Linked DNA regions of Drosophila melanogaster. Changing the gene in region 1 together with any one later gene gives a genetic interaction. Each region holds a gene or a part of one and is shown on either strand. Other genes may lie near its edges.

Region 1 (3,757 bases):
ATAATAATAACATTACTGTTCGTTCCCATTTCATAGATTTCTTTTCATTTTATGCAAGTTTTTCCACGAAAATGATTTCATTATCCCTAGCTGGACCTGCCATCCCCTAACTTTTCACATTCTATGAACATCAAACGATAAGTGCGCTATAATTTTTCATTTCTCCAAATCAAAGCGAAGCGAAGAAGGCACCAGAAATTCAAAGCAGAGAAAGGGAAATTCGTGAGCATGCCAAAAATGCTCTTAACTGGAATGACATGTGAAAAGCGCCAAAATCTGTGAGGCGATCAAATGGACACGTACGTCAGGAAGCAGGAAAAATCAAAAAAGAACTCTTGTGGGTGGAAAATGGAAATGCAAAATGAACAAAGGCCAATCCGAAAACGTGAGAAAATTCAGTCAAAACGATTCATTTTATAACTGCCGACGCCAGATGGTAGGCATAACTCCAAATGAGGGGGAAAAGAATATATAACTTGCAAAAATGATACGATATATATGCCATATCAATAATTGAACGATTCAATCAACTGAACAATAATGGGAATGTAACCTCATTTGCCTTTTATATTCGTTTTAATTTTTTCATTATCATTGAATCCATTCTGGACATTGTCAAGTCTTACATTTGCGCGATTGTTCCTGAATTTAATTAAAAAAGAATGAATGACAAAAATTATATTTGCGGAATACAACAAATAAAAATGAAACCAGCTCCCCAAATGACAATTGAATGAAAACAACAACAATCAACAATCGAAAACAACAACAATGCAGGAACGAACAATAAAACGCGAGTCTTTCTCTTTCACCGCGGAGAATCGGTGAATTTCGAATGGGTTAAGCGGTGAGGGTGATTTCTGGCGACAGGATAATGGTTAATATTGTATTCGAATAATAGTAATCACGGCACAACTTGACTCATCTCTCACCTGCCATTATGCGATCAAATTAAATTTACATTTATTTAATTTTCAACTGCACTCTGATACTGTATTTATACTGATAGATTTTTATCAGATAAATATCTGATAAATAAAATGTTTTTCAGTTTGCACGGCACCATAACAAAGAAAGAAAATCTATTATTAGCTTAAGTAATTATTAAATTAGACAGAAAACATATTTAGAGTTTATTTATCCAACTACGAGTATTAGAAGTTTATCATGAATTATTTTACAACTTCCACTAATTTGAACAATATTCTTAAGACAATTTTGATTGTCACTATTCCGCAAAAATGAAATTAAAAATGCATCAGCTAGCTTATTTATTTATTGAATTTGATAGCAAAACACATAAAGAGTATATGTGCTAATAATTTAAAACGTTTATCCTTATTTGTTTTACTCTTTACACTTATTTTAACTGGATTCTAAAAGAATATTTATTTATATAAAATAAGGAATTCATCATAAATTGTATCACAAATGTAACAATTATTTATGCCGCATGTGGGTGGGGAGCGATTTTAGGAAACAGGATCCTGCATTCATCCTACACTGTGTGCTATTATCACTCACTTAGTGTCCTCGTCTGCTAAGTGAAATGCTGAAAACTCAGAAAGAAAAATGTGACGCGGACAAAACTTTTTCCATTACACAACGTACAACAGTTTTTGCTTTCATTATTATTTGAGATTCGTTGTTGTTGCCGTTCTACGTTGTCCTTTCTTCCTTTTTTGGGGAAAGCAGACACAACGGAAACGTTGCGAACGCTGAAAGCTTTTTATGCTCTTACGCTATGGGCCAGGTATAAGAGCTTTGTAAATGCAATTGGAAATTGCACTAAGCTTTGGTGCATCGTTGTGTGGGTGCGTGCATGAGCAGGAGAAAGGCAAAGAGAAGGGTGGGATAAAAGCTCAAAGGGGAGAATGGTTTTACTTTTGGGGTTATGGAGTTTTAAAAAATATAATAGAATATTGCAACCTTATTCCTGAAAGAAACATTTTTATTAAAACAACGGCTCTTGGGGTCAAGATGTTGTTTAATGAAGCAATGTTAAACTCTTACAATCTTTGCATCACAAAAGCCATAAATTATGTCTTCGTTTCGAAAGAGAGGTAAATATGTGTGTTAACAAGAATTTGAAAACTTATTATTATTATTTGGGAAACTCTTTTAGTTACGAATGAAAAAAACATTAGTTTGCGGTAGATTTAATTGTCAATTATTCGATTGCCCTTGTCCTTTCAATCAACATTAAAAGGTTTGTTTTCTTTTGCTACTGCTTATTTGGTAAACCAAAAAGAAAAGCTGGCTAAAACATCTTTTCTATAATAAAGCACAGAGGACCGTTCTACATGCATCTGGGTGAAGATTTGCCTCACTTCCACTGGCTCCTTTGTGGGCTTCTTTCTATGGCCAAATAAGTAAATAATTGCAGTAATATCCTTTCTGGAGCGGCCAGGAAGAAGTGGCAAAAAGGGAACGGAAAAGAATGGAGAAGAATGGCGAGCGAAATGAAAGAATGCGAGAATGGAGAGCGGGGCAAGAGAATGGAAAGCGTGTTTCCATGTCCTTTTCACAAACTAAAAAGTCCTTTCACACACACACATAGTACTGACTACAGAGTACACATAGAGAACGGTATATAGCAGAACACAGACACCCACAATGGACAAAAATTCACACCAAAGACCCATTGTGATTGGCCCAACAAACACGCACACACATACGCGGGGAGAGAGTTGTGTTCTCTCCCTCTCTCGTTCTAACTGCATAGGAGATGCGGAAGTGCAACGCCGCCGTGCAAACAATAACGGAAATTGTGTGCCCACTGTGCGAAAATCAATGTGCTCCCGCGCTCGCCCTGGCTCTCTTTCTCTCTCTCGCTCCGTACTTTGAGCTCCCCCTGCCCCACAGGATTGGGGTCGCTAAATCGAATAACACGAAGCACAGCCGAACGAGAGCTGCCTGGCTTTTGGCTCTATTGAGCTCCTCTATTGAACACACCCCTCAATGGGCGAACAACTATAACCGATATAAAGGAGCCAATGGAACAAAGCCAGTGGAACAATGGGCCGCAAAACGAAAGAGAGAAGACGCTATGTGTGAGTGAGAGCGCGACGACGGCGCAGCTCTCTCCCAGGTAAGAAGCCCAGCCTCTATCCCGCTCGCACCCACGTGGCTTACGTAAAGGTAATGGTGCGAGGGTTGCTCGCACTTCGTGCTCAACTCTCTTCCGAGAGAAACGGGATTTGGCTGCAGTCGTGTAGGCCGCACTGGAACACTACTGAAATCAGTCACAAAAAAGCAGTCGATCCGAGCAGAAGCAAAGCAAGAGCAAAGCAGAAGCAAAAGCAAGACAGTAATTGACATAGAGACAAAGAAAAAATCTGAGAAATCACAGTTGAACCACAGACATATTGTGTTCTAGAAAGTGAAGTGTTGATCTTGAAAGAAGCAAAAGTTAAACAAAGTGTTCAAAATAGCTGGAATGGCCACCTTATCGACACACCCCAATTACGGTTTCCATTTGGGTCAGGCCCAAGGCTTGGAGGACTACGCACCGCAAAGTCAGCTCCAGCTGAGTCCCGGCATGGACATGGATATCAAGCGTGTGCTGCACTACTCCCAAAGCCTGGCAGCCATGGGCGGATCGCCCAATGGACCCGCCGGCCAGGGTGTGAACGGATCCTCGGGCATGGGTCACCACATGTCCAGTCACATGACCCCGCACCACATGCACCAGGCGGTCTCCGCCCAACAGACCTTGTCGCCCAACAGTTCCATCGGATCCGCCGGCAGTCTGGGT
Region 2 (3,682 bases), 870 kb from region 1:
CGGAAGTGGCCAATGGAGAAAATCTCAAGTGGCCCAAACAATTGTTAAAAGGCGGTCAAAAGGAGCTCTCGCACGAGACCAACGCAACGCCCAAAGAGCAGAAATTCCAACAAAAATATTAACACAACAGCATCTGCTCCCGATTTCGCTATTGACCAGTGTCCAGATTCCTTTTTGTTTTTTTTTGCACAGCCCGCCAATTAAGCAGAAGCCAAATACTTAAAAACCTTAAAAAGTGGGCGAACATTCGGATCGCCTACGTAGAAGTCGGTCGACAATTAACAATTAACGTCAGCAATTGTGATCGGTTTTATAGCCACTTAACATACGATCAACTGGCAGAAGGGCGACAATGCCGCACCTCGGCACAATGCCATGAAAAGGACAATTATAGGTAAATCCCTAAAGTCAGTTAACAAATGATAAAACTGCCGCCATAATTCTGTGTAATGTAGCCCAAGAACAACATTTCGGCGACGTACTGTCTGGCTTAAATGTCCCGACCTGGCCCAAAATACACACAAACAAAGGCGCAACGTGCGTCGTGTCTTGGATTTGTCAAAGGACCAAACGACTGCATCCATGAATGGGATCGTCCTGAATGGATGATCCTTGCCGCATTGTTCGCCGTAGTTGCACAAGCAGAAGAATGCATCAATAAAATTACGCCAAGGCGAGGACTAGGACTCAAAGAAGAGATACATATACATATACCCAATGTGCTGGAGGGTCTGGTAAACGGGAGTTGTAGAAGTAAAGGTTCGATTCGAGATTTCGGCAGCCACCACTTCGGGCCATAAGTTGCCATGAAATTGGCATTAAACGGTTGGAGGGCTTGCAGTTTTCAATGGTTGTAAAATTAATCGATTCGATTGTGAAGGGTCACTGAAGAGGTTTTCTTGTAATGCAATAAATTACAAACAAGATACTGTGTAAATTTCGTTGGCTATTTAAAAGATCTTCCTATAAAAAGAATTACAATTGCGCTTGCTTGTAAGTAAAAACAGATGGTTATAATATTAATAATTTTTGCAAGAATGCTATGGATGCTATTTGTCTTTTTCTACACAACAAACACTTTAATATAATTTGATTTGTTTACCATAAAAATATAAATAATTCGTTAAAACCTAACAATGATGAAAAAAAGCCAATATGTAAAAGCCTGAAAATGAACGAACTGCTTATAAATACAATATCTGCTCATATGATAATATTGCTTATAATGACTTTTTTGATGCTTCTTCATAACTTAAAGTTTTATGAAGTTGCATTTGTTTATTTTTCAAACATAAGTTACTAGGCAAATTAAAAAAAAATATATATGCAAGCAATATATATGGATTTTCTAATAAAACTATTAATTAAAATTTGTATTTTTAATTAAATACATTTTTAACACTGTCTATAAAATAAGCTGCTTGATGATTTTATTGAAAGTTCGAAATACCAATAATGTAATTTGATCTAGCTTAGGCTGAACTAATTCAGTTCCGTTTAAAAAGCTTTTACGCACTCTCTTCAACTTTCAATTAAACTCGAGTGATAATACGAATTGGAAAGACTGATTCGTTCCACAGGGACACCAATACAGTCCCATCGCACACACCCAAGCCCACACACACACACATACATATGTATGGCAGGATGGCAAAGGAGGGTTCGCCATTGTCCTTTCGCACAGATACAGTGAATCATCGCTTACCTGCCATTTGCGGCATTGTGAGTGATCGAACAAGGGCGGAGCGTAAATGGCAACAGTTGTTGCTAAATGGTGACTAAATGGCCGAACACACTCGCTCAAACAACCCTCGAATTGGCCCTCAGGGGTGTGGAAGTGGCAAACCAACCCCCAGAACAGAGTCTCGAGGTATATAAGAACCGGGTGAGGGCGCAGCAGCCAGACAGTTTCGCACAGTCAGCGATCGTGTTCAGTAGCTCATCTCGAGATCAGTTGGAAAACGAAATACCCCAGAAACCCAAGATGTCGCGTTCATTTTTGATGGATTCCCTACTCAGCGATAGGCCCAATTTGAGCCAGAAGAAGGAGAAACTGGGATCGCCAGGAGGAAGTCCTACAGCCGCTGCTGCAGTGGCCGCAGCTGCCATGTTACCATCGATACCCATGCTTCCTTACCCGGCCAGCTATGTGGGCAGCTATCTCTTCTCCTTGGGCATCCAGCAGCAGCAGCAACAACAGCAGCAGCAGCAACAGCACGCAGCAGCTGCAGCAGCGGCCGCAGCAGCAGCAGCTGCCTTGCAGCAACATCCACATGTCAGTTCGAGTCCCGGTTCCCTTTACCATCCATACGCCCAGCTGTTCGCCAGCAAGAGGAAGTCCAGTGGATTCAGCAACTACGAAGGATGTTATCCATCGCCACCGCTCTCGGCCAATCCCAACTCCCAGCAATTGCCGCCAATACACAACCTCTACGGATCTCCAGTTGTGGGCGGATTACCCTTACCGGAACCTGGAAGCTTCTGCACATCACCGTCCGCTTCATCGTCCGCCTCTTTGGATTATACCAATAACTTTGATGAACCTCAAGGAAAGCGTTTCAAGCACGAGTCCTCCTGCTCTCCGAATAGCTCACCACTGAAGAACCACTCTTCGGGAGGTCCCGTCGAGATCACGCCGCTGATCAACGATTATGCCGATTCCAGCAAAAGGATCCGCACTGCCTTCACCAGCACCCAGTTGCTGGAGCTCGAGCGAGAATTCTCGCACAACGCCTACCTATCCCGCCTACGTCGCATCGAAATCGCCAATAGATTGCGCCTTTCCGAGAAGCAGGTGAAGATCTGGTTCCAGAATCGCCGAGTCAAGCAGAAAAAGGGCGGCTCCGAAAGTCCCACCTTCAATCTGTCCACCAACTCCAATGGAAGTCCGCAAGCATCTCCAGTGTCTCCCCAAGTCAAAGTCCACGAATTGAAGGTTGAGGCGTAGAATCAATCACCTATTAAACCATAAGAATAATGTAATTGTACAGTAGATTTTAGTCTGTTTTCAGTCATAAGTATGTTAAAGTAAATAAATTTTAATCAAAATGAAAAACGACGTTTTTGGGATAGATAAACCATAATAGAAAGCAATGATTTATTTATGCAAAGTGGGTTCACATCTAGCAGCTAAGTTGGCCCAAGATGGCTTTACTAAAAAATACTAAATAATTTTAAATTACGAACCAATTAAATGAATATAATAAATATATAGCAGCCCTGGAATATCCCTAAAAATACCAAACGCTAGTGTCGATATTTCGTTCCAAATTTGTGCTGTCAATCAAAACGAACAAAATTTTCATTCCCAAAAATTTAGTCGTTGTCGAGACTTTGCTGTAATCATGTCGAATCTGTACACCGAATTGAAGAACGAGTGGAGCAAACATGCGCCCAACCTCACCCACTGCTCCCGCCTCCTGGATGGCTTCAAACTGGAGCTGGTGAGGTCAAACTTTGGAACAATCCAAACTGCATCGAGTTCCAAGCAAAAGGATCAGCTAATCAAATCGCGGGAGATGCTGGAAATCGCCGTGGAACATAGCATCACCATCAAGGATTATGCTGCCTTCGAGAGATATATGGCCCAGTTAAATACCTACTACTATGATTACGATAAGTACTTGGAATCATCGAAGCACATGTACAAGTTCATGGGCCTAAATCTGCTCTATATGTTGGC
Region 3 (3,757 bases), 7.4 Mb from region 1:
AAAAAAGTGACAGAATCACCGAGGGAGGATGGCCAGCAGAAACAGGATTTCTTCCTTCGCTTCGACATTTGAAATTTAAATACCAGCGTTTTTTTTTTGTTTTTTGTTTTTTACTCACTCGCTGTTGTTATTTAGCGCCGCCACCTAATTATCATGTAAATTTTTGTCTAAGGACCAACAATGACTGTGACTTTATTTTGTCACTGGGGTTTTTGGGTTGGAAACGCTTGGCTTATTAATTATGCCCAAGTGCGTGGCCAAAGGATATGGTCATGGAAAAAAAAACGTAAACAAATTTCATGCAAATACGCTCGAACTTGTCTGGCTTGCGTCTGCTCGGCTGGATGACCTTAGTTTGCATAATTTTTTGATTGAGCTCTTGACCTGCCTCAAAGGGGTCTAAAACTATGCTAAGTATTTTGTGGTGGGTGTTTATGGGATTCTTGGGCTAGTTATGTGTGCCAGGATTTATTAAATGAGAAAATATATGAGAGGGTAGCTTTGAACATTTTATGCATTAATTAAATATATTTTTTAAGTGGGAAAATTCTGAATATATGTTGACATATTTAAGGGAAATAGTGGGAAAATAATAAGTAATTTTTTTTTTAGAAAGGTAAATTTGGTTAAATAAGCTATTTTATGTCTGCATATATACATTTGACGGCAATTGGCTTTGAAGGCGAAATAGATTTCCATTGATTGTGTGCAGAGTTTCATTCATTCATTGTTTTAGGAAACATAAACTTTTACGGATATTTTTCATTTGATTCTTCGCATTGTCCCATAACGCTCCGCTAAATCAAAAAACTTTAAAACTGCACAGCCAGAAACAAAAGTCAGTATTCCAATGATAACTTTAACGATGGCAATTCCTTTAGCTATGCAAATGTATCGCTAGTTTCGCATTAATTTCGCAAAACTGATCATAGAATCAATGAAACTGACGGATGAAGTGAATCAATATCTTTTGTCAGTGAAACATAATTTAACTGTAAAGCAGTCAAAACACAGTCACAAACACAATGAGCAAAAGAAAGATATCAAGGTGGAAAAGAAAGGTATATTTTATGTAGGCAGCCAAACGAAACTTATATGCATATGAAAAAGAAAATTATAAAATATTCATCGGTAAAATGGTTATTTTTTTAAACGAAAATTTTAAATATCATTTCATACTAAACACTAATTTACTTTCTTTAATTTAATTAAGCTTCACTCACACATATTATAAACTGAAAAAATACAAATAAGATTTTCTTATATAACACATTGGTTAAATATTTAATGGGACACGGTCTATATAAAAAATATTTTCAACAGAATTCAGCGAAATTTGAATTGTCCAAATTCAAGTTCAAGATTTATTTATTTTTCATATTGATAATCAAATATTATTTGCTCTTAAATATTTTTACTATGCACACTTTTTTGGATGAACGATAAATAGTTAAATATTTAAACTGTTTATTTGTTTAATTCCTTTTCTACGCCACGTTAGTAATATGTTCTTCAAATCGCAATGGCAACCACTCCAGATGTCCCCCCTCCCAAACAAACACACACACTCACAAAGCCAAGGGAAAAGTTGTCTGGCCAAGGAGCTGCAAGGAACTGAAACAAAGCTCCCCGAACGGGAGAGAGAAGTCCTGGACGCAAAAGCTCCAACTGGGAGATGGCACTACGTGTAATCCCTGTGTTCCCGATAGCTGGACTCGAAGAAATCGAGAGATGCGCCGTCGCCGTTCATATCATCTCTCGCCCTCTCTCGCTCGCACTGGGCACTGGGCAATTAAAAATGTCACTCTGCATGGGAATGCACTGAGGGAACTTCGTAGAGCCGGCTCTGGTATTATTTTTTCATCTCATATATTTTTTTTGTTTTTGTTGGTTTTGGGGGCGTAACGCTGGAATACAGCGAGCCCAATAGAGCGCAAGTCTCCCTTCCAGTTGCTCGGTAGAGCGTCTATCTCGCTTGCCGCACCAATGGCGGTGCTGCTCGCACACATGGAACGCTGGAAGGCCAGCGGACAAACTGGTTTCGCTCGCCGGGGTGTGTGTGCGTACTGCGCTCGTTGGTGTGCGTAAACGTATCGGTGTGACGTACCGCCGAGCGTCGAGAGCGCTCAACGTAGAGCTGCGGTGCGAGACATGACGTTAGTTCACTTCGATAGCTCTACGAGTCTGCACGTGAATTTTCCCTGGGCTCTCGGCTGTCTTGACTGCTCAAATCTCACAACACACAATCTCAAATCTCAATCGGCATCGAATCGGTCAAGCAACCCAGTAGAAACACACATTCGAGAAATCTCAATCTGTATCTGAATATCAGAGTTCTGCGTTCTGACCACTGAGTTCTATCGATGATTTAAATCGTTGCGAAAAATCGCCACAAAAAGTGCCAAGTGTTAGAAGTGCTAAATGAAATTCGAAAATAAAAAAATCTAAATAAATAACCAAATAAAACGCAGTTAGCTCAACGCTAGTCAAGCTAAATAAACGTGAAACCCCAAGCAAATTGCCGTCGGATTTTTTACTTAACCCAAAGCTGAAATAAACTTGTTGAACGCGTTCGAGGGCCACGCCCCCAAAAAAGCAAACGTCGAACCCAAAAAAAAACAAAATAAGCGAAATAGAATATTTTTGCGCCTGCCACGTTGCCCGTAAAAGACGTCAAGACGGTTGCCTCACGGTTCGAGTGGAATGAGCATAGGGACCCTGGTCTTCCTTTCGATCGATCGGTGTACAAAGTCGTTAAACTGAGCCCCAACTTGGAGCCCTACCCCGCCAGCGTGGAGGGCCTGAACAGCCCCAGAGCGGTGGGGATGGCCGCGACCTCGTACATGACGCCGCCGAGCGGTGATCTGGACATGGCCCTCGGAGGCGGTGGCTATCACACCTCGTCGCCGCGCTCGGCGGCTGATGCCGGTGAAATGAAGTACATGCAGCACCATCATCATCATCATGCCGCTGCCGCGGCAGCTGCCCACCATCAGTTGCCCTCGTCGCCATCGCCCAATGGCCAGGGCAATGGTGGCGGACTTGGATTGGGTTCCGGTTCCGGGTTGGGCTCATGGAGTGCCCTCCATCCGGATCCGTGGATGCAAACCCATCATACGCACCATCTGCCCGCCGCCGCTGCCGTTGCCTCGGCCGCTGATACCGTCAAGCAGGAGATGTCGCATCTCTCGCAGCAGACGCGCATCCAACAGGGCATGGCCTCGCCCCATGCCGCCTGGCATGCCCCCCATGCGGGACACTATGCGCCAACGGGCGGGTCACCGTTGCAGTACCATCATGCCATGAACGGAATGCTCCATCATCCGGCCCATGCGGTTGCAGCGGCCCATCATCAGAGTGTGGCGCCACTGCATCATACGCTGCGCGGGGAATCGCCACAGCTGCACATACACCATCACATGGGCGGCGGCGATCGGGATGCCATAAGCGGCGGCGAGGAGGACACTCCCACGTCCGATGATCTGGAGGCCTTTGCCAAGCAGTTCAAGCAGCGCCGAATCAAGCTGGGCTTTACCCAGGCCGATGTGGGCCTGGCACTGGGCACTCTCTATGGCAATGTGTTCTCCCAGACGACCATCTGCAGATTCGAGGCACTGCAGCTGAGCTTCAAGAACATGTGCAAGCTGAAGCCGCTGCTGCAGAAGTGGCTGGAGGAGGCGGACTCCACAACGGGTTCACCCACGTCCATTGACAAGATCGCCGCTCAGGGGCGTAAGCGCAAGAAACGCACCAGCAT

Evidence for each region.
Region 2: of D (region 1) and ind, changing one enhances a phenotype caused by changing the other (phenotypic enhancement), as found in Drosophila melanogaster (one study listed by BioGRID).
Region 3: of D (region 1) and vvl, changing one enhances a phenotype caused by changing the other (phenotypic enhancement), as found in Drosophila melanogaster (one study listed by BioGRID).

What each region holds. Positions count from the first base shown.
Region 1 is NT_037436.4:14,177,021-14,180,777, reverse strand, and holds the start of D (dichaete), read left to right. Parts: upstream 1-2,157; 5' UTR 2,158-2,209; intron 2,210-2,285; 5' UTR 2,286-3,439; coding exon 3,440-3,757. UniProt on the Drosophila melanogaster protein: Essential for segmentation and CNS development. May modulate the actions of other transcription factors, including gap and pair-rule proteins.
Region 2 is NT_037436.4:15,042,167-15,045,848, reverse strand, and holds ind (intermediate neuroblasts defective), read left to right. Parts: upstream 1-1,924; 5' UTR 1,925-1,984; coding exon 1,985-2,947; 3' UTR 2,948-3,050; downstream 3,051-3,682. Other genes in the region: Rpn12R (regulatory particle non-ATPase 12-related), read left to right, coding at 3,345-3,682.
Region 3 is NT_037436.4:6,788,001-6,791,757, forward strand, and holds the start of vvl (ventral veins lacking), read left to right. Parts: upstream 1-2,157; 5' UTR 2,158-2,825; coding exon 2,826-3,757. UniProt on the Drosophila melanogaster protein: Binds to a DNA sequence element required for the expression of the dopa decarboxylase gene (Ddc) in specific dopaminergic neurons. Could also play an early role in specific ectodermal cells, and a subsequent role in the embryonic nervous system.